Xenopus tropicalis: one gene and its partners. The protein of the gene in region 4 interacts with the protein of the main gene of each other region in a pairwise test. Links are inferred from orthologs where the notes say so. Each region holds a gene or a part of one and is shown on either strand. Other genes may lie near its edges. The genes, in order: tex11, lgalsl, cchcr1, mad1l1, mfap1, usp15 and bag5.

Region 1 (3,500 bases), on a different chromosome or scaffold from region 4:
ACTGCCTTCTACAGCCTGCAGTTCTTTGGCCCCTGATGTTCCCATACCCAAAGTACCTTAGACCCACTAAATCTTGGGGAAAGATTTAAGAGCAGGCTCCAAACCTAAACATAAAACAGAAAGTTTATACCTGGTCAGGCAATCAACTCCTCAAACAATGTCTTCGGTCTGTTGGTTGCCAACACAGATGTAAAGACATTTCTGTAGTGCTTCTTTTTTATTGCACCATATGATTCATAAGAGTAAATGTAATTATTATAATGAAATCCATTAACCAGAAGGAGCTGAAGTACAGCATTTCCATGTTTGCACTGTTTAAAGAAGAAGAATAATCTATATTTTTGATAAATGTGCTCGAAACAACAACAAGAGATCCTCTGCACTCACCCATTATCAATATATATAGGACATTAAAGGAACAGTAACACCAAAAAATGAAAGTGTATAAAAGTAACTAAGATATATTGTGCTGCTGCCCTGCACTGGTAAAAGTTGTGTGTTTACTTCAGAAAGTCTACTATAATTTATATAAATAAGCTGCTATGTAGCCATGGGGGCAGCCATTTAAAGGAGAAAAGGCACAGGCACATAGCAGATAACAGATAAAACACTATTGTATTCTACAGAACTTATCTGTTATCTGCTATGGAACCTGTGCCTTTTCTCCTTTTTTCCAGCTTGAATGGCTGCACCCGTGGCTACACAGCAGCTTATTATATAAATTATAGTAGTGTTACTGTAGCAAACACACCAGTTCTACCAGTGCAGGGCAACATTGCATTATATTTTTATTACTTTAAAGCTCTTTTATTTTTTGGTGTTATTGTTCCTTTAAGACATTCGGTGCATTAAAGCTACTAAGAAATGCCCTTCCCTTTAAGCAAAACAGGGATTGTTTGTCCATATAAATCATTTAGTTGGTGCTCTAGATATAAACATTTAAACATTTATGCATTAAATAGCACAAAAATCACAAATAAATGAAAAAAAAAACTAAAGGTTGTGTCTCGTATCTTCTTTTTCAGGTCATTACTCAAAAAAGCAGTTGTCTCCAGAAATGCTGAGCCATTTGCATGCCATCTTGTGGGATTATGCAGCCAAATGCTTTGAGGTCTTGTAGCCAGTGCTGTTTTGTTGAATTTCATGGATATTTAGCTTTGTTTTATTAAATGACTGCTGTCTTCCACAGGCAAAGAACTATGCTGAAGCTTTGCAGTGGTATAACTACTCCTTAAGCTTCTTTGCTTCTGGAACAGCTGAACTCAGCCTTGCCAAACTTCAGAGGAACCGAGCGTCTTGCTACATATTACTCAAGCAATATCCCAAGGTTAGTTTTATAACATTACTGCTAGAGCCACAGCTATAATACAGTGGTGTGAAAAACTATTTGCCCCTTTCCTGATTTCTTATTCTTTTGCATGTTTGTCACACTTAAATGTTTCTGCTCATCAAAAACCGTTAACTATTAGTCAAAGATAACATAATTGAACACAAAATGCAGTTTTTAAATGAAGGTTTACGTTATTAAGGGAGAAAAAAAAACCCAAATCTACATGGCCCTGTGTGAAAAAGTGATTGCCCCCCTTGTTAAAAAATAACTTAACTGTGGTTTATCATACCTGAGTTCAATTTCTGTAGTCACCCCCAGGCCTGATTACTGCCACACCTGTTTCAATCAAGAAATCACTTAAATAGGAGCTACCTGACACAGAGAAGTAGACCAAAAGCACCTCAAAAGCTAGACATCATGCCAAGATCCAAAGAAATTCAGGAACAAATGAGAACAAAAGTAATTGAGATCTATCAGTCTGGTAAAGGTTATAAAGCCATTTCTAAAGCTTTGGGACTCCAGCGAACCACAGTGAGAGCCATTATCCACAAATGGCAAAAACATGGAACAGTGGTGAACCTTCCCAGGAGTGGCCGGCCCACCAAAATTACCCCAAGAGCGCAGAGACAACTCATCCGAGAGGCCACAAAAGACCCCAGGACAACATCTAAAGAACTGCAGGCCTCACTTGCCTCAATTAAGGTCAGTGTTCACGACTCCACCATAAGAAAGAGACTGGGCAAAAACGGCCTGCATGGCAGATTTCCAAGGCGCAAACCACTTTTAAGCAAAAAGAACATTATGGCTCGTCTCAATTTTGCTAAAAAACATCTCAATGATTGCCAAGACTTTTGGGAAAATACCTTGTGGACCGACGAGACAAAAGTTGAACTTTTTGGAAGGTGCGTGTCCTGTTACATCTGGCGTAAAAGTAACACAGCATTTCAGAACAAGAACATCATACCAACAGTAAAATATGGTGGTGGTAGTGTGATGGTCTGGGGTTGTTTTGCTGCTTCAGGACCTGGAAGGCTTGCTGTGATAGATGGAACCATGAATTCTACTGTCTACCAAAAAATCCTGAAGGAGAATGTCCGGCCATCTGTTCGTCAACTCAAGCTGAAGCGATCTTGGGTGCTGCAGCAGGACAATGACCCAAAACACACCAGCAAATCCACCTCTGAATGGCTGAAGAAAAACAAAATGAAGACTTTGGAGTGGCTTAGTCCAAGTCTTGACCTGAATCCTATTGAGATGTTGTGGCATGACCTTATAAAGGCGGTTCATGCTAGAAAACCCTCAAATAAAGCTGAATTACAACAATTCTGCAAAGATGAGTGGGCCAAAATTCCTCCAGAGCGCTGTAAAAGACGCGTTGCAAGTTATCGCAAATGCTTGATTGCAGTTATTGCTGCTAAGGGTGGCCCAACCAGTTATTAGGTTCAGGGGGCAATTACTTTTTCACACAGGGCCATGTAGGTTTGGATTTTTTTTCTCCCTAAATAATAAAAACCCTCATTTAAAAACTGCATTTTGTGTTTACTTGTGTTATCTTTGACTAATAGTTAAATGTGTTTGATGATCAGAAACATTTTGTGTGACAAACATGCAAAAGAATAAGAAATCAGGAAGGGGGCAAATAGTTTTTCACACCACTGTATATATATATATATATATATATACATCTTGCCTAACAACAGTTTCTAAACCATCTTTAAAATGGAGATTATGAAAACAGACTGAATAAATCAGCTTTCTGGGGCTATATGATGGGACCAACTCTGAGGAATTTCTGAAACTGCATCTTGCATTTGTTTACAGTACATACCCTACATCATTCCCTTTGAAAAACATACACTTTAAAAGAGCATCTGTCCATGGAGAAATCTCTGCATACCTGGTAAAATCTGGTATTTTTAAGTATTGTTCATATCATCATTTAGTGGCAATGATGCATGGATCACATATGAGTACAAATGTACTATGTTAAAGGGGAATGTAGGAAGGTATGCAACCATTATTTATGAGAAGGGTGCACATGTATGTTGTTATTATTCTGGAGTTTTGTATTACCTTTATCATCTATGCCAGTGCACAAATACCTGCTCATAGCGGTGCATTATGCTCATTTGTCAATGCCTCCCACTGAAACAAAGGGAAACACTGCTTC
Region 2 (4,155 bases), on a different chromosome or scaffold from region 4:
AGTACGTAACAGTGTTGTTATTGCAACCTGGGGTTTTTATGTTTATGAATTATTTTTACTAAGCCTTTAGACACGTTTCTGGTAGTTTCTTAACGCCAACCCCCACACCTGCCAGGAAAAGGTATGGTAGAAGGTATGAATAAGGCCCTGCAAATCTCAGCCTCTTCCCACCTTATTTCTTAAATCATTGGGACATGGCTCCTGGACTTGTTTGCTGCTACTTTCCTGTATGTCTTATTATTCTGCCCAGTCCTGTATGGCGTGTCTGTCTGCTACTTTTACTTTACATTTCTGCATATCCAGTTCTTGCCAGTCCCTTTTCTTGCTTTACAGCCCAGGTCTAGTAATCCCTCTGTTGCCCCTGTTATTACCCCTGGACCTCTGCCTTTAGGCATTCAACTCTTTTTAAAGGTAGGAATGTTAGCCACCCTAACTATCTATTCATTTAACCCTAGACTTGTTGACTCTAAAGCCTTGTAAAAATGCAAATATTTCAGAAACCACTGAAAACAGAAAATAAATAAAACTTACAGATGTGCTCAGAGAAGCACTCTAAATATGTTTAAATAAATTCAGTTTTTTGGGTGTAGTTCCCCTTTAATACTTGTGCAAGGCTCAGCCTATCATGGGTTGCAATGCACTATTATTTTATAGTTTGAAATATGTATTACTATTATTATTCTACTGAGCTGCTACCAGCTCCGTCTGTTTAATGAGGTAGAACCAGTAGTGCAGAGAATATAAACATACATTGCTTTCTATATTACATTTACAAATAACTTTAGGAGCATTGACATTGTTCAGTTTGTATATAGGGAAGCTTTGAGACCTGTTTTGCTTATGATTGACTGGGTTTAGTTTTGCTAATGTACAAATAATGGTAACAGCCAGAAAAAGGCCAAATTATAAGGCAGTGAATTTAACGCTATGGGATTATTACCTATAGTATGGCAAGATGGTGTCATTGAACAGAGCTGCAACTGTAGGGCAGTGTGTATAGCAAGGCAAGGTGGGGTAACAGTAACCTGTTGTTGCACTACTACTAGTGTTTGGGATGTGGGAATTGTAGTTCATTGGAACCCTATATCCAAAACTGGGTTGGGGCACAGTAGGATTCATTTGTGAATCCGCCATACCAGCCCTTCGTGTTTACAAATGCAGAAGCTAGTGATTATCCATAGACACTGCCAGCCTGAGCCTGAGCTTGTCTCCTCCATTCACACACATAGCAACTCCTCCTCCATCGCCACCTCCCCTCTCCCCAGCTGGTGGGAAGGTTTTGCAGTGCCAGGTCAGCCCCGGCTTCCTTCTGTTCTGTGCGCCGGCTGAGCTGGACTCAGACCTGCCCTCCCATCCCCTGCTACTGTCACCTCCTCCTTCTCCCTCCCGGGCTCCAGCTGATCCGGTGCCCCCCGCAGCCTTTGCTTATCCGTGCTAGGCTTCGCTACAAGATGGCGGGATCCCTGGTTGAAAGCGAAGCACTGGTAAGTCATTATACGTCAACATATTATTGCTGATCCATAAAGAATCGGGAGCATACCAATTGAGGGGAAGGGGGGGGGGCAGTGCCACCTTACTGGTGCCCGCTTGGATCCTTTGGCATGCTGTGTCTGACCTGGCCGCCTTGTTAGCTGGCAGACTATACAGTATCCATGAGGGCTGACAGATATTACAACGTGTACTAGTCCCGACTCCCTACAGTAGCACGGTATGTATAGGAACACGACTGGAACAAACCTGCTGCATAATATATATCGATGTGTGGAAAGCACCACCTATTCGTATGTAGAATATTCTCTATTACTAAGTATGGCCAAATCACTGTTAGTCCAATAACCAGGAATCACAGTATAAGAATTGTAGTGTAAATCGGGGCAAGTCCATTCCTATGCACACACTAGGAGCCTGTCAGCTTGGCTTACCGGCTGCTGGAAGGACAGGCACTAGCCCGCACTGCTGGATTGCTCCACTGGGGAAATGGTGGACATGTTGGCGATCATGAACTGTGGGGCCCTGTGACATTCATTCAACAAAAAAGCACCACAGTTTTGGAAAAAATGCATTTCAGTACAGGCAAGGTTTGTAGAGTGGTATGTGCCTGCCAGGGTGCCCTGTCTTGGTTGGGACCTGGCCTGAGGCTTGGGTGGCCACCGCTTCTGGAAGAAATACCAGCTTACCTATATTTTTTATCTTTTGTCACTATGAATACCATTGACAGGGCCCCACTGGAACATCTGTGCAGGCACCCTCTAAATTTCGATTGATGTACTGATATGGAACCTGTGCGCCCATTGAAACCCCACTGGGATCTCGCTACTGTGGGGCTCCCAGATGGTGGTGGGTTTGTTGTTTTTACTGTTACAACCTTGAACTATTTGGTCCCAGCACCTTTGGGTGGCCTTTTTATGGTTAGTCTTTGCCCCCACCTTAGACTTGGCACCAAATGTTAAATGTTTGTAGGTAGGCACAGAATTTTTTGCAGCGCTCTTAGTAAATGAACCCCACGTGTTTCGGACAAAGTATGAACGGATAATGAAATGGACTGACATTAGGCCTCAGAACCGTGAAGCTGTCACAAACAGGACCGTGAGAATGGGCTGTTAGAAAAGAATTACAGCGATAAGTCTCCCTTTATTTACCCACGGATTCCCTTTAATCCCTGGTGTCTCTTGTTGTTCTCTGTCTTGCATTTCTGATGTGTAACCTTGCAAAGCTCAGAGAACGCATAAAGCACCATGTAAAAAGATATTTTACATTCTAAATATTATCCTTGTGTGGAAGAGAAACACACCCTTCATTTGTAATTTGAACAAAAAATGCTGGTTAATCTTTCTTAGATATGTTACTCTCTAACATATTTATGTTTCTCTGTTTATTTTTATATTGTTTGGGGAATGAGAGTCCGATCAGTTAGAGGCTCAAAAAACACAAAATTAGTTTTTTTTAGGCTTTGCTTTTGCTCTTTTTTCTAATCAGCAAAAGCTAAACAAAATGTATTTTGTGTTTTTTGAGCCTCTAACTGATCGGACCTTATGACTGCAGGGAGCATGGCGCTAGCATGAAATGCGTAGGGTTACTGTCTCATTCCCCAAACAATATAAAAATAAACAGAGAAACATAAATATGTTAGAGAGTAACATATCTAAGTAAGATTAATCAGCATTTTTGCTGAAAGAATAAAATGCAATTACAAATGAATTGGATGTTTCTCTGCCATACAAGGATAATATTTAGGATGTAAAATATCTTTTTACATGGTCCTTCAGATATTCAGTTCAAAATTAACAGCAGGGTAATGCTAGTGTCACACAGGGCAATTATAACCTGGCATATTGTAGCATGGTGAAAAGTGCCTGTGGCATTCCTTCACTTGACTGCTGTACTTTCAGAAGTGTTGGGTGTAGATAGACCTGGACACCTCAGAATATCATACTGTTAAGTGGGACTTATTCTGAGTGGTTCTATCAACATTTTTCATTCATTTCATTTTCTGAGCCACTTTTAGGCTGCTGATGCCAGGCTAAATATTCAGTATTAACTGAAAGTGCATAGATGTTTAAGCTTGCTGTCACTGTGACCTTCAAAGAAAGCTGAAAGCCTGGTATTAGCAGATTTATACCCAGACAACTTTTATGTAAATTGCACTTAGAGGGCCACCGTGAATAAGTTTACACCAATTTATGTTTCTTGATCCATTTTAAAAAGCATTGGACTGTTAGCCATGGGAAGCATGCTTTTTTTTTATTTTGAACCACATTGTACCTTTATATAGACTTGCCAGGTTAACCAAAATTGCTCTTTCCATTCATATAAATAAAAACAAATATGCAGATAACCTGTGTCTGTGTATTGTACTAGATATTTACAGAATAATATTATAACGTAAACACTGCTTATATATAGGGCCTATTTTATCTCTGAGCCACACTTTGCTCCTGAGGGAAGGTGTATTTCAGTAGCAGCTGGGAGGGGGGGATGCAGCTGCTACGAGGAAGCTACATTCTTAAAGAGACCTGGTTTGAGAAAGTGCCACTTTAAAAGACCTGATGACTGTTTCTGTATGAGAGTGTATTTACTCTTAGCGCTACGTCTTGCCCTGTATTTATAGTAATCCCCTGGCAGACTCTACATGACATGCCACGTGTTTGAACAGAA
Region 3 (3,500 bases), on a different chromosome or scaffold from region 4:
TTTACGCTTGCCGAAAATATCCGCCTACGCCTCATCTGCCATTAGCCTAAAGGGTTGCAATGATAAGGAAGTGCCTGCTTATGTAAATGCTGGGCAGCATAAAAAATAATAAGGTTGCACTCACTAACTGTGTGTATTGTGTTTGTTCTTTCTTACATTATTCTGCATTTGGATTGCTGTGAGCGGTCACAAATTGAATAAATGTTAATAGCTCTCCTTGTTTTATGCTCCGTGTGGCATGATGGCACTGAGACTGCAATCAGAGCTAAATAATTCAGTTAATTTATGCAAACCTAAACATGGCTTTATTTTGTAGGGCGTACCCCAGGATTATGAGAAATTTCAACATCTTCTGTCAAGATGGCGTGAGAAGGTTTTCTGCCTCATGGTTCAGCTTAAATCTGAGGAAATCAACAAAGAAGATGACCATAGAAAAAGCAGAGAAAAAGTAAGAAATGGAAGAATGGTGTTGAATGGAGATTGAAAAAGTTGTGTGCGAGAGATATTTAAAAAGCAGTGTGTCAGTAAACAATGCACAGACATTTCTGTGATTGCAATTCAACTCTCTTTTGTTCTTTGTTTACAGTTACATTTTAGCCGGCTTGTTTTTCATTTATTGTAGATCTTATCCCTGGAAAAAGCTCTGCAAGAAAAAGATCAGGAGCAGATTTTACTTTTACACACCCTACAAGATCGTACAGCTGAGCTGGAAATGGAGAGGGTCCACAGTAAAGTGAGTATGGAACCTTATAAATTGGGCTTCATTGCAGTACTTTTAAGGTTAAGGGCAGTGGTTAGTTTTCCAACAGTAAATAATAAAGCTTCCCAAAATTTCAAAAAATGTTCTATTCGGAACATAAAACTGTTTGTGTAGTTCAGTATAGTCATCAGCCTTTATTTGTGTTAGTTTTATGTTTAATGCAGATGCTTAGGGGCTCATTTACTAACCATCTATTTTTTATTTTAAACTCAATTCAGATATTTTTCGACATTTACTATGCATCTAAACGGCTAAAAATCCGAATTTCATAATTTGCCTGATTAAATTTGCTGAGTTCATGTAGAAGTTAATCGCAAAGGTCCCTTCTCTTAAGGTTCTTTCTTTTATTTCAAAACCTTTGAGATTTTGCAGGGTTTTGTATGAAAACTCGACTTTTTCCAAATTGTTGCAGTAAATTTTTTTAGTAAATATTAGACATTTGGGAAAATCAATTTAGTTGAATTTGAAAATAGAAAAAAGTAGAAATTATGGCATTTTAGTAAATCTGCCCCCTTAATGTTTGTTCTGTATACAGACTAGGGATGCACCAATCCTTAAAATCATGTGACTTTTTGTCTCACAATCGTAGAAGCTGAAAAGTTTTCAGCACACACTACATGCGTGGTTCTCTTTAACCCTTCCTTTACCTAATTTACATATTAATTCCGTATTCGTTCAAATCTTTGGCAAAGTATTCAGGGTTCAGCCGGATCCTAAAATAGTGGATTTGGTGCATCCCTGGTACAGACTTGTTAAATAATGCTTTGGGTGGCTAATGTCAATACTTTTGCATTTAACTTGGTCATTTCATCTAGTGCCCCCACATGGCAAGTCACTTGGCTCATTTAATTAGCTTGTGTGTGTTTGTCCAAAAAATCTAACAAGATGCATCTCTTTCTGCCATTATTTGCACATTGCCATAAAAAGCAAATTATGTCTGACTTTACATTCCCGGCATTCCTGGCTCTGACTCCTGAAACAATGTTGCAAGCAGGCTAATTAAAACGACCTGGAGGTCACTAAAATATTGGCCAATAGGTTATCTACTCTAGCCCCTATGCTAATCCACCCTGACCAGGTGGGTTTTATAACAGGGAGACAGGCTGGAGATAACACCAGAAGGGCAACTGTATTACTGGAGGCAGCACAAAAGCTAGGCAAACCTATGGTATTTTTAGGGTTGAATGTAGAAAAACGTTCTATCGCTTTAGCTGACCTTACCTATTTTCCCTTCTAATACATCTTGCCTTCAAGGGCCCTTTCCTTACAGCTATACAAGCATTATATAACTCTCAAACGGCCCAGCTTAAACTCCTGGGCAAGGGTGCCCTCTATCCCCTCTTTTATATGCTCTAAGTATAGAGCCCTTGGCAGCATATATTAGAGACCACCCAGATATTCAAGGGCTAAAAATCTCCTCCACAGAATACAAAATAGCATTGTTTGCAGTCAATGTACTTCTATCAATAACCAGCCCACACACATCACTCCCTGTCCTCCATAGTATCCTTAGCACCTATAGCAACCTGTCAGGATATAAGATCAATATGGACAAGTCAGAAGCTCTTTCACAAGGTATGCACCCCATGACAGCTGAAGCACTGAAAGAAAAATTTGCCTACAAATGGAAAACAGATAAACTTACCTATTTAGGGGTCTGCCTTACACCTTTTATATAGTTCCCTTCTTAAAGGACATGTAAACCCCATACACAAAAATTTAATCAGTGATCAGCCTCTTTTAAATCTTTCAGTATGTGCCACACTGGTTGTCCAGAGGTTAACAGTTAGGCTTTAACATTGCTTCTCCTCCTGTAACCCACTCGGCCCCCTCCCTCAGGAATTTGCTTTGGCTGTTGGCTTGTGGGCATGCTCAGTTTTTCTAAGCTCAGATTACTAAACATGCCCCCAGTCTAGCAGCCAGTGAAGAGATGGCATTGCTGGTTCCCATAGAAACTCAGCTCTAGCTGTCTGCTTCAATTTTTTTTTTTCCTGAGCTCAGCTTTACCTACAGTGCTCAAACAAAGCAGAACTTTTATCAGAGACAGTTCTGCCTGTGTGAGCCTGTATTGTTGATGAAATTTATGCTGCATAAGGGTTTTTGTGTGTGTGTATGCTGTTTGCAGATTTAAATGTAACTGATTATGTATCAGAGGAAAAATGGCCACCGGGTGAAAGCAGCTATTTGCTTTAGGAAAATGTGATGGTGCTGGCTAGCGGAGGGGTATATATGCAGTACAAATGATGCCATTTGGGTGGGGGTGATGTGCCTAACTGATATACATTGTAGGCAAATGTAGGCTTTACATGTCCTTTAAGCAAAATTATTCTCCCTTGATTCACCAAACAAAACTCACGCTACATAAATGGTCAAACTGGTTTGGTCGTATTGCGGCAATTAAGATGAATATCTTACCTAAATATTTGTATTTATTCGAGACCATTCCGGTGACAGTACCTACTAAAATGATAAAGGAAGTTCTAAGTGCTTTGTAGAAATTCATTTGGGGTAATAAAAGGCCTAGAATTTCCAGATCAATCCTATTAACCAATATGTTACAAGGCGGCTTAGGAGCCCCCTCTATCCAAAATTACCATGATGCAGCTCATTTAAGGTGGATATCCGCATGGTCCCACTATCATACAAGCCCCCTATGGGCTAAAATTAAAAACCCATACCTACAGCCACAACTGATGAGTTCCTGGATCTGGACCTCAGGCCCTTATAAGGCCTTCCCAAA
Region 4 (4,218 bases):
GCTTTCTGCTTATGTAACCTGTTTGCAGGGGATCACTGTTAGTAGCTGTTTCAAAAGTAACCCCAATACAAGCTGTAGTATAACAAGAGCTATGATACTGAGGTAAAAACATGGGTCCCCTCCATTTAGCGATTAGGAGTTCAACTGTAGATCTGAGAGGACAGACTACTGTTGCTTATATATTTTGCATGTCTGTAGGACCTGTAGTTACTCTAGGCATGTGAACTTTACAACTTTTGCAAGAAATGTTATATAGTTTGCACATTACTGACCAATATATGTGGTCCAACTAGGGCTGCCATTAGGGGGGATGGAGGGTACTGGTGGGCCTGCTTCAGAATACTGGTGAATTCTGCTTCAGAAGGGGGCCCAGCTGCGTTGCTAAACTTACACAAACTGCATAAGTTATGTATAAGCCAATTGTCTGTTGTGAAAATTCCTGTACACAGACTAGTTTAGGCTAAAACTGGGGGCGGTAATAGGTATGTTTAACTATAACCGCCCCCAGTTTTAGTCAAATGCAAACATTAGTACAGACCTGCATAGTAACATCCCTCTGTTAGATAATATTAATAAATATTAATGATATATATACACATACCAGAAAGCGCTGCTGAAACTGCATTTGAAGGGAAGCTCCAGTAGATGTTGAAGTACCAAGAGAAGGTGCTGTCCCTTCCAATGGCTGAGAAAGAAATTTATTAAATGACCGTAGTGTGGAAATGACAGTGGTGTTGTCTTCACTGTCATCCATTTTAGCTGTTCACAGGTTACAGGCAGATCTGAAACAATGGGAGGAAAATGTCAGTGGATTATGTAGCCAGAATACAAATATGTTTGTATATGACTGTACGGTTCTAAGGTTTCTAGCTGGGGAAAAAACCTAACAAGGAACATTAAGAGACCCCTGGGGCCAAACAATCGAATTACACTGGCAGTAATGGGTGCAGTCGGTTCAGAGACTGCATCAACGAAACAATGCGGTCCCCGATCCGACTAAATCTTATAACCTGCACGATTGATATCTGGCCAATTTCAGGCCAGATATCGGTCAGGCATGCCCGTCGTTCCTGCCTCTACACAGGCCGATATTGGCAGCTACAATCGGCCCGTGTATGGCCACCTTAAGTCTTTATCTGCACTATGTGAAGATGCAATTCTCTGCACAGATAATATAAATAATGGCAATGCAACGAACACCAGCAATTGGGGAGATTTCCATTTCACGCCTAAAGGGCAATTTAACAAAATAAGTTTCAATTTTAAAAGGAGAAAGACAAAAAATACAACCATAAATAGACAGCACATATCTAATTTTACTTTATAAGGTATAAAAATGCATAGTAAATAATAACAATATTGTTACTGGAAAATTTAATGCAAATTACACCCTATAAAGTGCTAGTGTAATTGCACCATGGTACAAACTCAGTAATATACTGACACTCCGTAACTGCAGCAGCTCTTTAACTTAATTATGACCATTGCCTACATTCATAAGCTCTTTTCTCAGGGGCCCTAAGTTATTTTCTAAAGCCAGCTTCACTATATTTAATTGTAGGAAAAAATATATTATTTAGGGGAATCATGAAGACCCCTCGTAAACAACACGGTTACCCTTGTGGATCCTGACACATATGTTAAACATAATTGCTAATATAATGAATTTCAAACCTCAGCGCCACCTGCTGTTTATTTTAGCTATCTGCATACAGTCAGATGAAAATGAAAAGTTAGAGAGAGGAAAGGAACATCTTGTGATGACAATGTGCTTAGAAATGACCAGAGCAACCCCAGATGACTCTTTTCTGCTCACTTCATTTTCTAAGCAGAGCAACTTTACAAGCCACTGGTCTTCTCACATAATTAATTTTCTGCTGATTGCAACCAGGCAGCCAAAATGACCAGTAGCCAGCACTGCTGAATCAAATTCATTATACTAGCAGCTGAAAAACTGTTAATATCTTGAATGGAGGCAAAAGTGGCAAAAGTGCTTACATGAGCACTTGGAGCAATTTTTCAATAATTTGTTGAGGGTCTATATTTCCTTTATAAACCCGAGATATAATATCCACAGAATGCTTGGGATCTTAAACTTTCTGGATTGGGAAGGGGGGGGGGGGGGGGGGGGGGGAAGCCTTTCCATAATGTAGAGCATTACATGCTCAAAACTCATCAGCCTTTTAACCCTTCCAATGTAACCCACAAGAAGTATGAAAGCATTAAAGAGCCCATCAAAATCATTAACACATTAATAATATATTTTTTATTAAACCGCTTATCAGTAAGCACCCCACTGCCCCCTTATAATGGCAGGATCTGCTTCTTCTTTATGGATATGCTCTTTGATAGATGTCTAACTGTGCAAAAATCCTAAGTAATCCCAAGGAAGCAGAGTCTACAAGTGCTGGGGGGGCCCTCCTAATAGGCTATTACTGCATGCTGTAGACTAGATCTTCTGACTACATTTCCCAGCATTCTTCAAGATCCCAAGGCCAGTGGTTTCTAGCACTTTAAGTCAAAGGGGAAATAGTTGCACGCTTTAAAACTTCCCTTTGGGCTGCTGCTGCGAACTTGGCTGTAATGTAGCAGCTTGGGACCCTGAGCAACACTGACTTGAGAAACTGGTGGAATCTGGGAGTTGCAGTCCTGCAATACAGCTGCACATAGACACCAGCAGTGCGTACATCACCAATAACTGTAGAGCAGGAGACCTGTGCGGCTGTGCCCATGCTCACCCAATACAGCACCTCTCACTCACCGCCAGATTCCTCCTTCCCTTCCCTGAAATGAACAATCCCGCTCTCAGCAATCTCTGGGCAACTCTCGCGAGAGAACACATTTACCGTAAACACCCTAAGTTTGCCGGCGTTGCCGTATTGATAGAGAACTGGGCGCAGTTACCAGCGAGCTGGAATCAGATCGGCAGAGGGTAGGGTGTCATTTATATATATATATATATACACTTATTTTTTTTTTTACACACTTATTATTTTTTTTTTAAATGTATACATGTATATATTTATATATATTTAAACATATATATATATATTTAAACATATATATTTATATATATATATATATATATATATATATATAAAAATATATACATTTATTTTCTAAACTTTTATATAATCTTCCTAGTACTGTCCTTTATGGTTACTAAGGCTGCACCTATATGTATGGTACAAAGATATTGTCTTGAGTGTCACATCAGCCTACAAGTACTGAAAATCATGTTAGTTCTAGTTGTATAACCAGTTTTAATATATTGCAGGCTGGCCTGACAATCAAGACAATATCTTTGTACCATGCATATAGATTGGGTCATCAGACATGGTGGAAAAAGTAATCTGCCCAGGTCTGGACTGATGCTCAAAATAGGCCCTGGCATTCAAATTGCATAGAGGCCCCACACTAGCCTACTAAACAGTGAATGTCTATGATATCTTACAGCAGCCCCTCTGGCATTCAGTCTGGGCCTGAATCTGCCAATGTATTATGCTGACTGTATGGTGCAATTGTGCATCAGCAGACGAGGTAGTGACAATACTGTGCAGATAGTTGCTGTCAGAGGAAGGGAAGAGGGCAATAGAAAAGTGGCTGTACTGAGTACGGTATGTGCCCTTTGGCTCACAAGCCAATTTTTCAGTTAATTGATGCAGCCGTTCATTGTCTAGAGTAGGTAATTGTGTACATGTTTGAGTCAGTCTAAAGTAAGTGCAGCTCAAAGTTACCAAACCTGAGCACTGACTGTCTAAAACCATGATCCCCAACCAGTGGCTCAGGGGCAACATGTTTCTCCCCAACCCCTTGGATGTTGCTCTCAGTGCCCCCAAACCAGGTAGTTATTTTTTAATTCCTGACTTGGGGGCAAGTTTTTGTTGAATAAAAACAAGATTTACTACCAAATAAAGCCTCCTATAAGATGATAGTGTGCATAGAGGCTGCCTAATAGCCAATCTTAGCCCTTATTTGGCACCTCCATGAACTTTTATGGTGCTTGTGTTGCTCTCCAAGGCTTTTTACATGTGACTGTGGCTCACGAGTAAGAAAGGTTGGGGACCCCTGGTCTAAAAGATCATAAAGGACAAGTTTTTTTTGTGTGGTGACTCGTAAGATGTATAAAGTACACACACATTGGCACATTGTAAAAGCAGGTCCTGTCTAAAAAAAAAAAATAGATAGTAAGGTGTGAGACAACGGAGGCTGCACTTT
Region 5 (2,876 bases), on a different chromosome or scaffold from region 4:
CTGAGACAGGGACTCATGATTGCTTTATATGTTACTCTGTGTGTCCAATGTATGAAACCCACTTATTGTACAGCACTGCAGAATATGTTGGCGTGTTTTAAATAAATGTTAAAAATAAATAATAATATTATTGACTATATGCCTGGGTGGAAAGATTTTCAAAATTTCAGATATTTTGCCCCAAAAAGTTTAACAGCAGATCTGTATATGACTGACCATGTAACTATAATGCATGAAGCCAACCCAAATTCACTTTTCATTATAAAACTACGTACCCAGGCAACTCTTTGTCACTTGTACTGTGCTTACTTTCCAGTCAGCAGATAGCATGTGGGACAATAAAAGGTCTTGCATAGACAGATACCTGTACATCAGACCAATCCACACAAGATGCTGAATGCTGGACATGAGAAAATGGACCAGTGGCTTTCATTACTGTACAAGCAAAACAATTATTTCACAGGATTGATAGAGGGGCATACAAAAATCGTTAGGAGATATGACAGAGTAACTTTTTTATTTACAAATATTATCAAATCTTGCCTCGGTTTCAGTGTTCCTGAATGTCAAAATGATTCTAACTAAAAAATACCTTTTATAACATTTTTGAAAAAACTGTGAAAATCTCTGTTTCTCCACAGCTTGGAGAATGCTTTGTGATTTGCTAATGACAAACCCAACAATTCATTCACACATTAAAAAAAAAAACATTACATTACTTGCAAATTATATATACAGAGTATGTGCAAGTAATGGTGGTCCTTGTTTATGAGCTGCAGTTCTTTTTATAACCCAGAAAATATGGACAAGTCCCTCATAGACACGGACATTTATGTCTTTCTTTTCTGCACAGTCGGCCTCTCAAACACATCCCTTACTCCTGCTGCCTTCTGTTTGAAGAACTTTGTGTTCTGTGGATTGTCCTGACCCCAAGCAGAGTCAAATGAAGTGGTGTCCTGATCAACCAAGTGAGTATATTTTGTCCGACCTGAACGTCCAAAATTCTTGACCTGAATAAAACAGATGATATCAATTTATGAACTGGATTGGAAAACCACAGATTAAAATCTTCCATGCTATGAACCCAACATAAATGGCATAAGTAAATTGTAGCCAGTGCAAATTAAGGACATGTTTAAGATATATTGGGCTATTGTGTGGGGACTAGCAGAGGATTTCACAGCTACTGGAAATGAAAATTTTGACAAAAAAGGACAGTTTAATATTTATAACCATTTTGCTCCATAATTTCCAGTTGACTAACATCTCCCAAGCAATTTTGTTTGCTTTATATATAGAATCACTAGAAAACAAACACTTCAGTTTCTTGCTTTTGGAAAAATATTCCATTGTATTTATGTAATGGAAACATTAAGGGGTGAATGCATAATGTTTTCCCTCCTGCATATATTTTATAACAGTGTTACTGATGGCTGGCAGTTTTAGACTTTGCTAACTCTTCATTGTTCACTACCACCTTCCTAATCACATCCAGTATCCCTCCTATACTGTGATAATACACATTTTTGTGTGGCCCAGTAAAACAGGGAATCAATCTAATACTTTAGAATTCAGGCAGAGCAAAAAAAAGTAAGAAACGGCAACATTCTTGCAATTACCTGCATGACCTTGGGCAATATAGTCTTATTAAAATGATCCTCCAAGGTGGGTGCACTGAAATCCCTTTTATATACATCTTCATCTCCATCCTATGGGGGGAAAAAAAAGACAAAGCTTTCTGTAAAATAAGCTTCTGTAAAATTCATCAAAATTTATCAAAATGTGAGAGTACCGAGCTCACCACAGAAAAATTCACCAATTTCCATAATATCAGATTTTTAGAAGCAAATTTATCAAATGGTGAATTCTAACATTTACTCTTTTAAAAATCCCACAGGAATGAATATAGAATGGGTAAATTAGTTAAATAGTTCTTACCATGAAGAATGCACCTCTGTGGTAATATTTTTGCAGAAATTTGTATTTCCCCTTCAGTGCCTTGTTGGTTATTATTTTGCCGTTTGCACGCAGCTCTGCCCGTCTTTCCTCATCTGTCATGTTACGCAGACGATCAACCTCTGCCTTTTCCTTCTCCATCCTGTTACATGACACATAAACAAAATAACATTTAACTTTAGGCACACAAGTCCAGGTAAACTGTGAAAGTTATCAGTATTATCCAAAGTGTAAAGAAACCATGGCAAGCAGTAAATGAGCCGTACAGTATGACTTTATCCATAGAGTCGGGATAGAAATACTTACGCCTCTCTTTCTTCTCGGTCTCGCTTGATGCGCTTTAACTCTCTTACTTTCCAGGCTTCATATTCCTCTTCATCATTCTCATCATCTGTGTTGAGGGCATCAAGGGCTGCCAGGGATCGCTTATTCTCTTCAATCTCCTTCTTTGTTTCCTCCTCTACAATCTGTACATGAAATATTGCAGTGAGGAAGCAGAAAGTTCTAACAAAACTACCACTGCATCAAGACAAATACTTACCTTCAAGGTGTATTTCCTTCTCTCCTCTGCCATTCGTTTTGTCTCTGCCTCCAGCTCCTTCTGTTTAAGCGCCTCAGCTTCTTTTTCCTGCACAGTAACTCTGTCTTTCCTGAAATGGTTACAGCAACATACTGTAAGCCCTTTGGTATTTAACATCAAGCAGAGAGCCATTTCATATATGGAAAATCACAGTTGCTATAATTTTAAATGTCCCAAATACATTAAAGATATTTTTTTTTCAGCCTGCAGCTGCATAATGCAGGTGGGTCACAAGAAAATAAGAGCAAAGATGCTGAGATAAAATGCAGGGGAGCAGGGGAGACTACCCCCTCCCAAAAAAAAAACAGATACTGCCCCTTTAATTTGTAACCTTGGAAAC
Region 6 (4,197 bases), on a different chromosome or scaffold from region 4:
AGTAAGGCAAGTAAAGCAGGCAGACTGAATCACAGCTACTGAGCTAAATGAGCAAGCCACTAGTAGACACAATAGACAATAATTTTATGCCTAATAAAAGAAAACTTAATTCTAAGCAACTTTCCAATAGCAATTTATTAAAAATTAGTAGTGCTTTAAAAGTTCATTGTAAATGTAATTGCTATTGAAAGCAGCATTTGCTGAACTCCTGGTTGTTACTTTTTAAACAATGTTGTAAATGCCAGTCTCCTCCAGTAAGACAGGTCTGTCAATCTGCTGACTTGTGGTTACATTGTTTCAAACGCCAGAGCCACCAGGGCAGAGAATAGAAAAGGACAGACAAACACTGCTGTTAATAGCAGTTATATATACAAATAACTCAAAACCAATTACAAATATGTAATTAATGTATATTGCAAAGTTGCTTAGAATTATGTTTTCTTTTAGTAGGCAAAAAATATTTTTTGGAGTTGACATGTCCTTTAAAAACCAGATTGCTGACACTATTTTAACTATAGCACCATCATACTTTCCCCCAGGCCCCCCACCCAAACCACATAAGTTACAACTGCTGGTGACTCCTGTAGCACATAGCGAAGTGCAGAGTTGTGTACTGGTGTTAGATGCTAACATCTTGGCCTGCATCATTTTGTTTCCTGTTTAAATCTTTGTGACATGCACTCAGTAGTCAAAGACTGCAAGTCAGCACAAATCATAGGGATTCAAACAAAGAATGCAACTGACATGGTACTTGATATGGGATGAATACTTAAATTCTGGCAGCTGTCAGTGATGTGGTTCAAAAGGGGCCCTGAGAAACCATGCTAATTTGTAAACTGATGGAATAAGTTACTTTAGGTTTCTAAATTATTTATAAGTAATGTTTACATGGTATGAAGATTCTTAAAGTATATTCTTTAGATCATAGAAGGTGCAAATTACTTTTAGTCTGGTACCACATTAGTTCAAAATGACTTGATCAGATGCAACCCTAGCAAAATACTGTTGTAGATTTCCATGTGAGTACATATATAGTATTTGGTAATGGTAAAGACCTATACTGCAGTATAAAATTTGATCTAACACTATTAGCTGAATCACACCTCCAGTATGTGACCTCAAAAGGAATGCATTTATGAGCAATAATGTGACTAGACCTAAAAATTAATCTTCATCTGAGAAACAGTAATTAAGGAAAAATGTGGATAAGGACTAAATGGGGTAAGTACAGTTCTAAACAGTAACACTGATACATGACATCTATCACAATGCCTGTTACACAGTACACCATCTGTAGCCATATGGCACAGGTTTGTCATCAACAAACTACTAAGGACATCAACTGTTCTACATTTTCAGCATCAGAAACTCAAGATTCCAGGAAGCTAAAAATAAGAATGTGCACAGGGAAAGGGCCTGTTATTTTCAGTTAGCATCACAGTGACCAGCACTGAAGGCAAAGAGCCAGAATCAAATGCAATGATTTGGGGAAATTTATTATAGTCTGAATAAGGTTCATGCCTTTCTTCTCAGGAGTTTTAATTTGATCCCATTAAATAACCTGACCTTCTGGATTTTTGCTACATTTGCTTATTTATAAACGCATTGCAAGCTTTCCTCAGTTGGCTTTCTCAGCTGATGAAATCCACTATTTCCTATGCCAAATCTTGCAGCTATACCAGGGTAACATGCAAAGTTGTCTGAGAAAAATAAGCACTGCATTCATTTTAATGCAAGTCTATGAGAGGAATTTACAAGTTGCTCAAACCTTATCCTCGTTGTTTCCATTGCTAAATAATTGCGGAAAAGATTTTCAGATTTTTTTCTAGTGGTAACCATCATTAAAGCAGAAACAAACTAAACATTTAACAGCCATATGTAGGGGCAGATTTATCCTAGCTCAGTTAAGTTTTCTGGATACCGTTGCTCATTTTTGATTTACATTTTTATAGTCTTGAAAAATTTGTTTCTGTGTGAAGAATATCGTCAATCTTCATTTTTTAAACATGCAATATGCAGAGCGCATAAATGCACACACATGCTTTCGCTGCAGTTTAAAACCATCAAAATGATTTTTTTTTGTAAGTTATTTACAATAACATTTTCTTTTATTATCTAAAACTGTATTTTGGGGGTTCCATGTTATGTGCAATATTTTATCAGTAATATTCAAAACTGAATTAAACAGATAACAGCAATGAAAAGTAGGCCCTCTAGCATATTTTGAAAGGCCAAACATTAGGGGTTGCAAGCAGAGAACAGCCGGGTCTCCCTGGCACAGCGACTGTATGCGAGTGGGCTTGTGGGAGAAGTCATAAGCGTCCCAAGGCCCCTGAACTACACAAGTACAGGACTTGGAGTCCGTGTGGCCAACCGGCCGCAGATGCTTAGGAATGAGGCAGACTGCCCCTAGCGAGCTCTCAGCACATGAGTGACAATGAACAGGTGACAAACCCGGTACTCTGTCCCCACACACTGCGCTGCTGCTGTGCATGATACAGATGTTTTCCCTGTCAAGCTCCTTCGTTACCTTTCCCACTGCCTGGAACCTGCATTTTCCCCTCACACCGTCGCTTAGTAAGTGAGAGCGCGTCCCCTGCCACATCTCCCCGCTGTGCTCGCTCATGCTTACCAGGTGTCTCCTCTTCTGAGAGGGGTTTTCAGCAGGGCTGACACTTCGGATCTCTGAGTCTCCAGATCCACCACTCCGCCCTCCGCCATCTTACTCCACTGACAGCTACGCGCTGCATTCTGGGAGTGACGTCACGTAGGCGAAGTAGGGAAAAAGCGCGTTCCCGGCTGTGTTGTTGGAAGAAGTCGGACAGTGGGTGGGCACAGTGTGAGGTGCTGAATGATGTGCTGCAGACAGTGAAAACCAAGTTATTATAGACCTGGATGATACTCTTCTAGTAATACATTGCCTTGTGTTCTTATATTTTAGATTCATTCGAATACATTACGAAGATAGGGTGAAGAAAGATATGTAGCAAAATTCCCCTTTTCATCAAAAATTTGGTCAGCTCTCCCCCTTTAGTTTAAAACAGTCTTAGATATATGGGATTTGGATTTGCCAATCAGCCAAATATAATTCAGACATTTGAGCTTTAAAGGAACAGTTCAGTGTAGAAATGAAAGTGGGTAGAATAGACTGGGCAAAAAAAGTGTTTTCGACTGCAAAAAGATGTTTTCAATATAGTTAGGCAAAAATGTGATCTATAAAGGCTAGAGTGGGCAGATGTCTAATTAATATGAAACAATGATTTTTTAGTGTGAATGAAATGTATAGCCCACTCCAGATACCTTGTGCTTCCGTTTAAACCAGTGATCCCCAACCAGTGGCTCGGGGGCAACATGTTGCTCACCAACCCCTTGGATGTTGCTCTTAGTGCCCCCAAACCAGGTAGTTATTTTGAATTCCTGACTTGGGGGCAGTTTTGGTTGAATAAAAAGAAGATTTCCTACCAAATAAAGCCTCTTGTAAGCTGATAGTGTGCATAGAGGCTGCCTAATAGCCAATCTTAGCCCTTATTTGGCACCTCCATAAACTTTTATAATGCCTGTGTTGCTCTCCAAGTCTTTTTACATTTGACTGTGGCTCACGCGTAAGAAAGGTTGGGGACCCCTGGTTTAAACAATAATACTTAACTCTGGAGCGCCCTCCTCTGTCCAGACTTCCCAGATGAGGTCTTATGGGATAAAAGAAAAAAAAAATATATATATGTATATGTATATATAGCGTAATACAGTAATATAATATTGATAATCACCCCTCCAAATGTGTTTGTATCCGAAACAAATCACTACCAAATTCACTTCACTTTTCTGTGAAAACACATAAATACAATCCACTGCAAAGTGTTTAACGTTCATGTCTATTTAAATAAGTGAATTTCCGTATTTCACACTCTTCAGTGACTTCCTTTTAGCCTTATCCAATTGTGCATATACTTACAGACTAACACTATGGTCTTGGAGCAACCTGCTCCGCTATAGGATGAAGAAGTTTGTAGAGTCTGGGTGTTGTACCCCTAAAACTGTAGGAGTAGTATTTAGAAAAATGGGGGGTGCTAAGAAAAAGAAGATTAAGAAGCATAAGAATAAGATGAAGTTGAAGAACAGTGTGTTGGTTCAAACCAACCTAATAACTGAACAGTTATGTCCCATATGGCCACCCTAAAGTCACTGACTAAGAGGTTA
Region 7 (3,342 bases), on a different chromosome or scaffold from region 4:
GCTTGTGCAAGATTTAATGCGATAAAATGTGAATTTTTGTATATCTTTTTTTAAAAAAAAACCTTATTCAATTTGAATTTTTTGCCCATTTTGAATAGCATGTGCTATGCTTTAAGAATGTTTTCGCTGTCTGTACAGAATTACGAGATGCACATTTTGGTTTGTGAAGCACATTCTCTAAATATATAATGACACAATGGTGCTGATTTATTAAAAAATGAGTTTAGAGCTTAATACATGAAAACCCACATTCACCCTTAATTTCTGTTTATTACTGGGTAAAAGTTAGAGTTCATCATTTGATAAACACACTTCTAAAAATCCCATAGGAATTAACAGAAATCAAGCTGAACTACATCTTTTAATTCTGCATGTGCTGCAATGTCTATTTTGTAATTAGATACCTTAAACGCAGCAGCCTTTTTACACTGAACAATATAATTAAAAATGTACATACTATTCACTTGTGTACATAACAATGACAATGTTGTACCCCCATCAAAAAAGACAGAACTTTTATTTAAGAATCAGCACAAAAATGAGAAGAGAGATACAACTAGAAATATGCCACTTATTGTTCCACTTGATAAAGTCAAACTGGGATATTTAGCATTAAACATTCTATAATTTTTCGCCATTGGTACATGAAAACAAAAACTGGCTAGCTTTTGACTGAAGCTTTGTTTTATGACAGATAATTGGCTTAGTAAAAACCCTATCTTGCAATGATAATGCAAGGATGAAACTGAGACATCTTTACAGCCATATTTAAAGTGCAAGCAAAGCGAAAGCAGTGTTTTTTTTAGTATTCCCATTCATCAGTTTTCATATCAAGATATCCAAGGATATTATTTGCAAGCTTCACAGCTTGTTTTCTTGCAGCCTTTGTACGGCCATCCTGTGAATCAATGGCATCAAGAGCCAGCAATTGTTTAGTAATAAATTCTTCTAATCTCATATAATTTTTATCAGCTCTCTTCCCATCAAAGAAGAGGACTTCCTTTTGAAGTTCAGATAAATGTCCAAAGACAGTCCATACAGCTATATAACATGGAGGCTCTGAGACTGTGTGTTCTGGTAAACTCTGGCGCTTTTCGAGAGCTTCTTTTAGATCAATGTAGGTGATGACAGTTTGGACCTCAACTACAGCTCGTCTTCTAGCTTCACGAATGCAAGGATTCCTCCCTACACTAACTTCATCCAAGCTAGCTATGAGGCCCTGCAGCTCTGACTTTGTACCCATATAGATGTCAGACATATGCTGCTGCACTTCTAAAAGACTGTTCTTTATTTTTGCTGCTTCTTTGCGAATCTCTTCTATTTTTACAATTGACTGGTTTTGGCCCAAGTCATAAGCACTTCCCAACTCAGCTTCATCCTCTAAATCCAAATATTTCAGCAAACTGTTGATTTCCTTAACAACTTCTTTGCGATACTCTCTTATGTCTGTGTGGCCAGAAACATCCAGAGCATCCAGGTTTGCAATTAATCCAGTAAGAGTGCAAGATAAATGCCTGTATGTTTCATTGTCATTGACGCCAGCTAGAAGAGCTATGAGACTGCATCTGGCTTTGTTCACATCACACATAATTGAGTTAATTTTAGAAACTGTTGGATGTGCCTCAGCAGAGAGAGGGAGAGAAAGTACTTGTTGTTTAGAAGAGCTTTCTAAAATTTCTTGAATGGCAAGAACTTTAGTTAAAGTTCGGTACCTAGCTTTTCTTAGAGGGATCTTTCCCTCGGTTTTTACTTGAGTAAGTCTTTTCAAAATATTCTGAATTCCTTCCTCAAATTCATCTGTTCTCTGACCTTCCCCACTAAATTGTGTAGTATGTAGCGCTACCAAACTCTGAGTTTCACTAAAGATCTTTTCGATCTCAAGTCTGCAAGGATGGGTTGCATTCTGCTCCAGTTCCTTTAAAACTCTTTCTGTCTCTTCAGTAGCTTTCTTTTGGGCTTGTAGAATGTTTCCTTTTCCCTCTGTCTCAATAGATTCTATTTCAAATAACTGTTTAGTTAAATCTTTTTCAAGCTTTTTATAAGTTGGGTCACTCTTTAGACCACTAAATGTCACCACTTGTTGTTCAATCTCTTTGACCTTCTTCTGTATTTCTTGAAGAGCTGTGACTGAAGCATGTTGATTACCCATATCCATACTCAATACAGCAATTTCTTAGAAGATACTGGTGCTAAAAAAAAAACCAAAAACAAAAAGGTAAAGATGCCATTCCTAAGACATGTTTATTTAAACAAAAAACAGGTATTGTCTAACCATTACATTACATTACATTTATTTATAAAGCGCCAACATATTCCGCAGCGCTGTACAATAAGTGGGTTACATACATTGGACATACAGAGTAACATATAAAGCAATCAATAACCGATACAAGAGGTGAAGAGGGCCCTGCCCAAAAGAGCTTACAACCATCTCTTCATCCATGTATATATACTGTATATATATATATATATATATATATATATATATATATATATACTGATTTGAATAATGTTGATTTGAATAAAACTTCTATATTTTCTTAAGACCTGTGAGTGCGGACTCTCTCTACAGCTACTCCATCTATTATTTTGGGACTGCACCCAGGCTCCCTTGGACCTACTTATACGTGAGTGCCTGTCTTCTTGCAACATGCTATATATATATATATATATATATATATATAATTGAAACCTATGCCCCACGCACTTCACTTAAAAACTGGAAGGATTTTTCTTAAACTGTTTTTAATAAAATAATGTTCTAGTTATACTTTTCTTTCTCCTCCTCTATCTCCAAAAATTCCTGCATAGAACTTAAGTATGAAACTATGTAGCTAAATTAAGTAGAAAACTGAATCCCGTTTAGCAGAAAGTACTGGCCATGATGCCCTCTTACACTTTTCCATGCTCACACAAATTTTGAGGCCAGTGCACACAGCACACCAGTGAATCTGGTGTGAAACATAAAGGGAAGATAATGCTAGTTAGTCAAAGTTTATACCAGTGCTGTCCAACTTCTGCGGTGCCGAGGGCCGGAATTTCTTTAGCATACACGGTGGAGGGCCGCTAATGGAAGCCAGTTTTGGCCACTCCCCTTTTTTTGAACCACACCTACTTCAAACCACACCCATTTTATCACAATGGTGGTAGTGCACCAAAAACCCAAATGCTTGGTCCTCACTGCGGGGATATCAACAGTTATTCATATGTGAAAGAATTATATTATGTCATATTAAGACACACCCTTAAATCCATATGCCTCCTCCTCCCCTGTGGATAGCACAGCAACCCCCAGCAACATAATTACACACCTTAGGGACCATTTAATGGCTGTTTCCAACT

What was found.
Region 1: the proteins of mad1l1 (region 4) and tex11 interact in a two-hybrid assay, tested with the Homo sapiens proteins (2 studies listed by BioGRID and IntAct). The two-hybrid records come from large-scale screens. The link is inferred for Xenopus tropicalis from reciprocal best matches to the Homo sapiens genes MAD1L1 and TEX11.
Region 2: the proteins of mad1l1 (region 4) and lgalsl interact in binary tests that used the Homo sapiens proteins (3 or more experiments, as listed by UniProt). The two-hybrid records come from large-scale screens. The link is inferred for Xenopus tropicalis from reciprocal best matches to the Homo sapiens genes MAD1L1 and LGALSL.
Region 3: the proteins of mad1l1 (region 4) and cchcr1 interact in binary tests that used the Homo sapiens proteins (3 or more experiments, as listed by UniProt). The link is inferred for Xenopus tropicalis from reciprocal best matches to the Homo sapiens genes MAD1L1 and CCHCR1.
Region 5: the proteins of mad1l1 (region 4) and mfap1 interact in binary tests that used the Homo sapiens proteins (3 or more experiments, as listed by UniProt). The two-hybrid records come from large-scale screens. The link is inferred for Xenopus tropicalis from reciprocal best matches to the Homo sapiens genes MAD1L1 and MFAP1.
Region 6: the proteins of mad1l1 (region 4) and usp15 interact in binary tests that used the Homo sapiens proteins (3 or more experiments, as listed by UniProt). The two-hybrid records come from large-scale screens. The link is inferred for Xenopus tropicalis from reciprocal best matches to the Homo sapiens genes MAD1L1 and USP15.
Region 7: the proteins of mad1l1 (region 4) and bag5 interact in binary tests that used the Homo sapiens proteins (3 or more experiments, as listed by UniProt). The two-hybrid records come from large-scale screens. The link is inferred for Xenopus tropicalis from reciprocal best matches to the Homo sapiens genes MAD1L1 and BAG5.

Annotation. Positions count from the first base shown.
Region 1 is NC_030684.2:44,799,164-44,802,663, forward strand, and holds part of tex11 (testis-expressed protein 11), read left to right. Parts: intron 1-1,025; coding exon 1,026-1,111; intron 1,112-1,189; coding exon 1,190-1,327; intron 1,328-3,500. UniProt on the Homo sapiens protein: Regulator of crossing-over during meiosis. Involved in initiation and/or maintenance of chromosome synapsis and formation of crossovers.
Region 2 is NC_030681.2:32,406,962-32,411,116, reverse strand, and holds the start of lgalsl (galectin-related protein), read left to right. Parts: upstream 1-1,355; 5' UTR 1,356-1,451; coding exon 1,452-1,484; intron 1,485-4,155. UniProt on the Homo sapiens protein: Does not bind lactose, and may not bind carbohydrates.
Region 3 is NC_030684.2:75,158,315-75,161,814, forward strand, and holds part of cchcr1 (coiled-coil alpha-helical rod protein 1), read left to right. Parts: intron 1-316; coding exon 317-448; intron 449-622; coding exon 623-733; intron 734-3,500. UniProt on the Homo sapiens protein: May be a regulator of keratinocyte proliferation or differentiation.
Region 4 is NC_030685.2:31,040,442-31,044,659, forward strand, and holds the start of mad1l1 (mitotic spindle assembly checkpoint protein MAD1), read right to left. Parts: upstream 2,801-4,218; 5' UTR 2,762-2,800; exon of another isoform or gene 2,739-2,761; intron 2,711-2,738; exon of another isoform or gene 2,688-2,710; intron 783-2,687; 5' UTR 755-782; coding exon 602-754; intron 1-601. UniProt on the Homo sapiens protein: Component of the spindle-assembly checkpoint that prevents the onset of anaphase until all chromosomes are properly aligned at the metaphase plate.
Region 5 is NC_030679.2:107,681,155-107,684,030, forward strand, and holds the end of mfap1 (microfibrillar-associated protein 1), read right to left. Parts: intron 2,607-2,876; coding exon 2,498-2,606; intron 2,424-2,497; coding exon 2,263-2,423; intron 2,099-2,262; coding exon 1,939-2,098; intron 1,710-1,938; coding exon 1,620-1,709; intron 1,011-1,619; coding exon 831-1,010; 3' UTR 501-830; downstream 1-500. UniProt on the Homo sapiens protein: Involved in pre-mRNA splicing as a component of the spliceosome.
Region 6 is NC_030679.2:62,759,285-62,763,481, forward strand, and holds the start of usp15 (ubiquitin carboxyl-terminal hydrolase 15), read right to left. Parts: upstream 2,801-4,197; 5' UTR 2,722-2,800; coding exon 2,633-2,721; intron 1-2,632. UniProt on the Homo sapiens protein: Hydrolase that removes conjugated ubiquitin from target proteins and regulates various pathways such as the TGF-beta receptor signaling, NF-kappa-B and RNF41/NRDP1-PRKN pathways.
Region 7 is NC_030684.2:98,469,449-98,472,790, forward strand, and holds bag5 (BAG family molecular chaperone regulator 5), read right to left. Parts: upstream 2,190-3,342; 5' UTR 2,156-2,189; coding exon 803-2,155; 3' UTR 501-802; downstream 1-500. UniProt on the Homo sapiens protein: Co-chaperone for HSP/HSP70 proteins. It functions as a nucleotide-exchange factor promoting the release of ADP from HSP70, thereby activating HSP70-mediated protein refolding.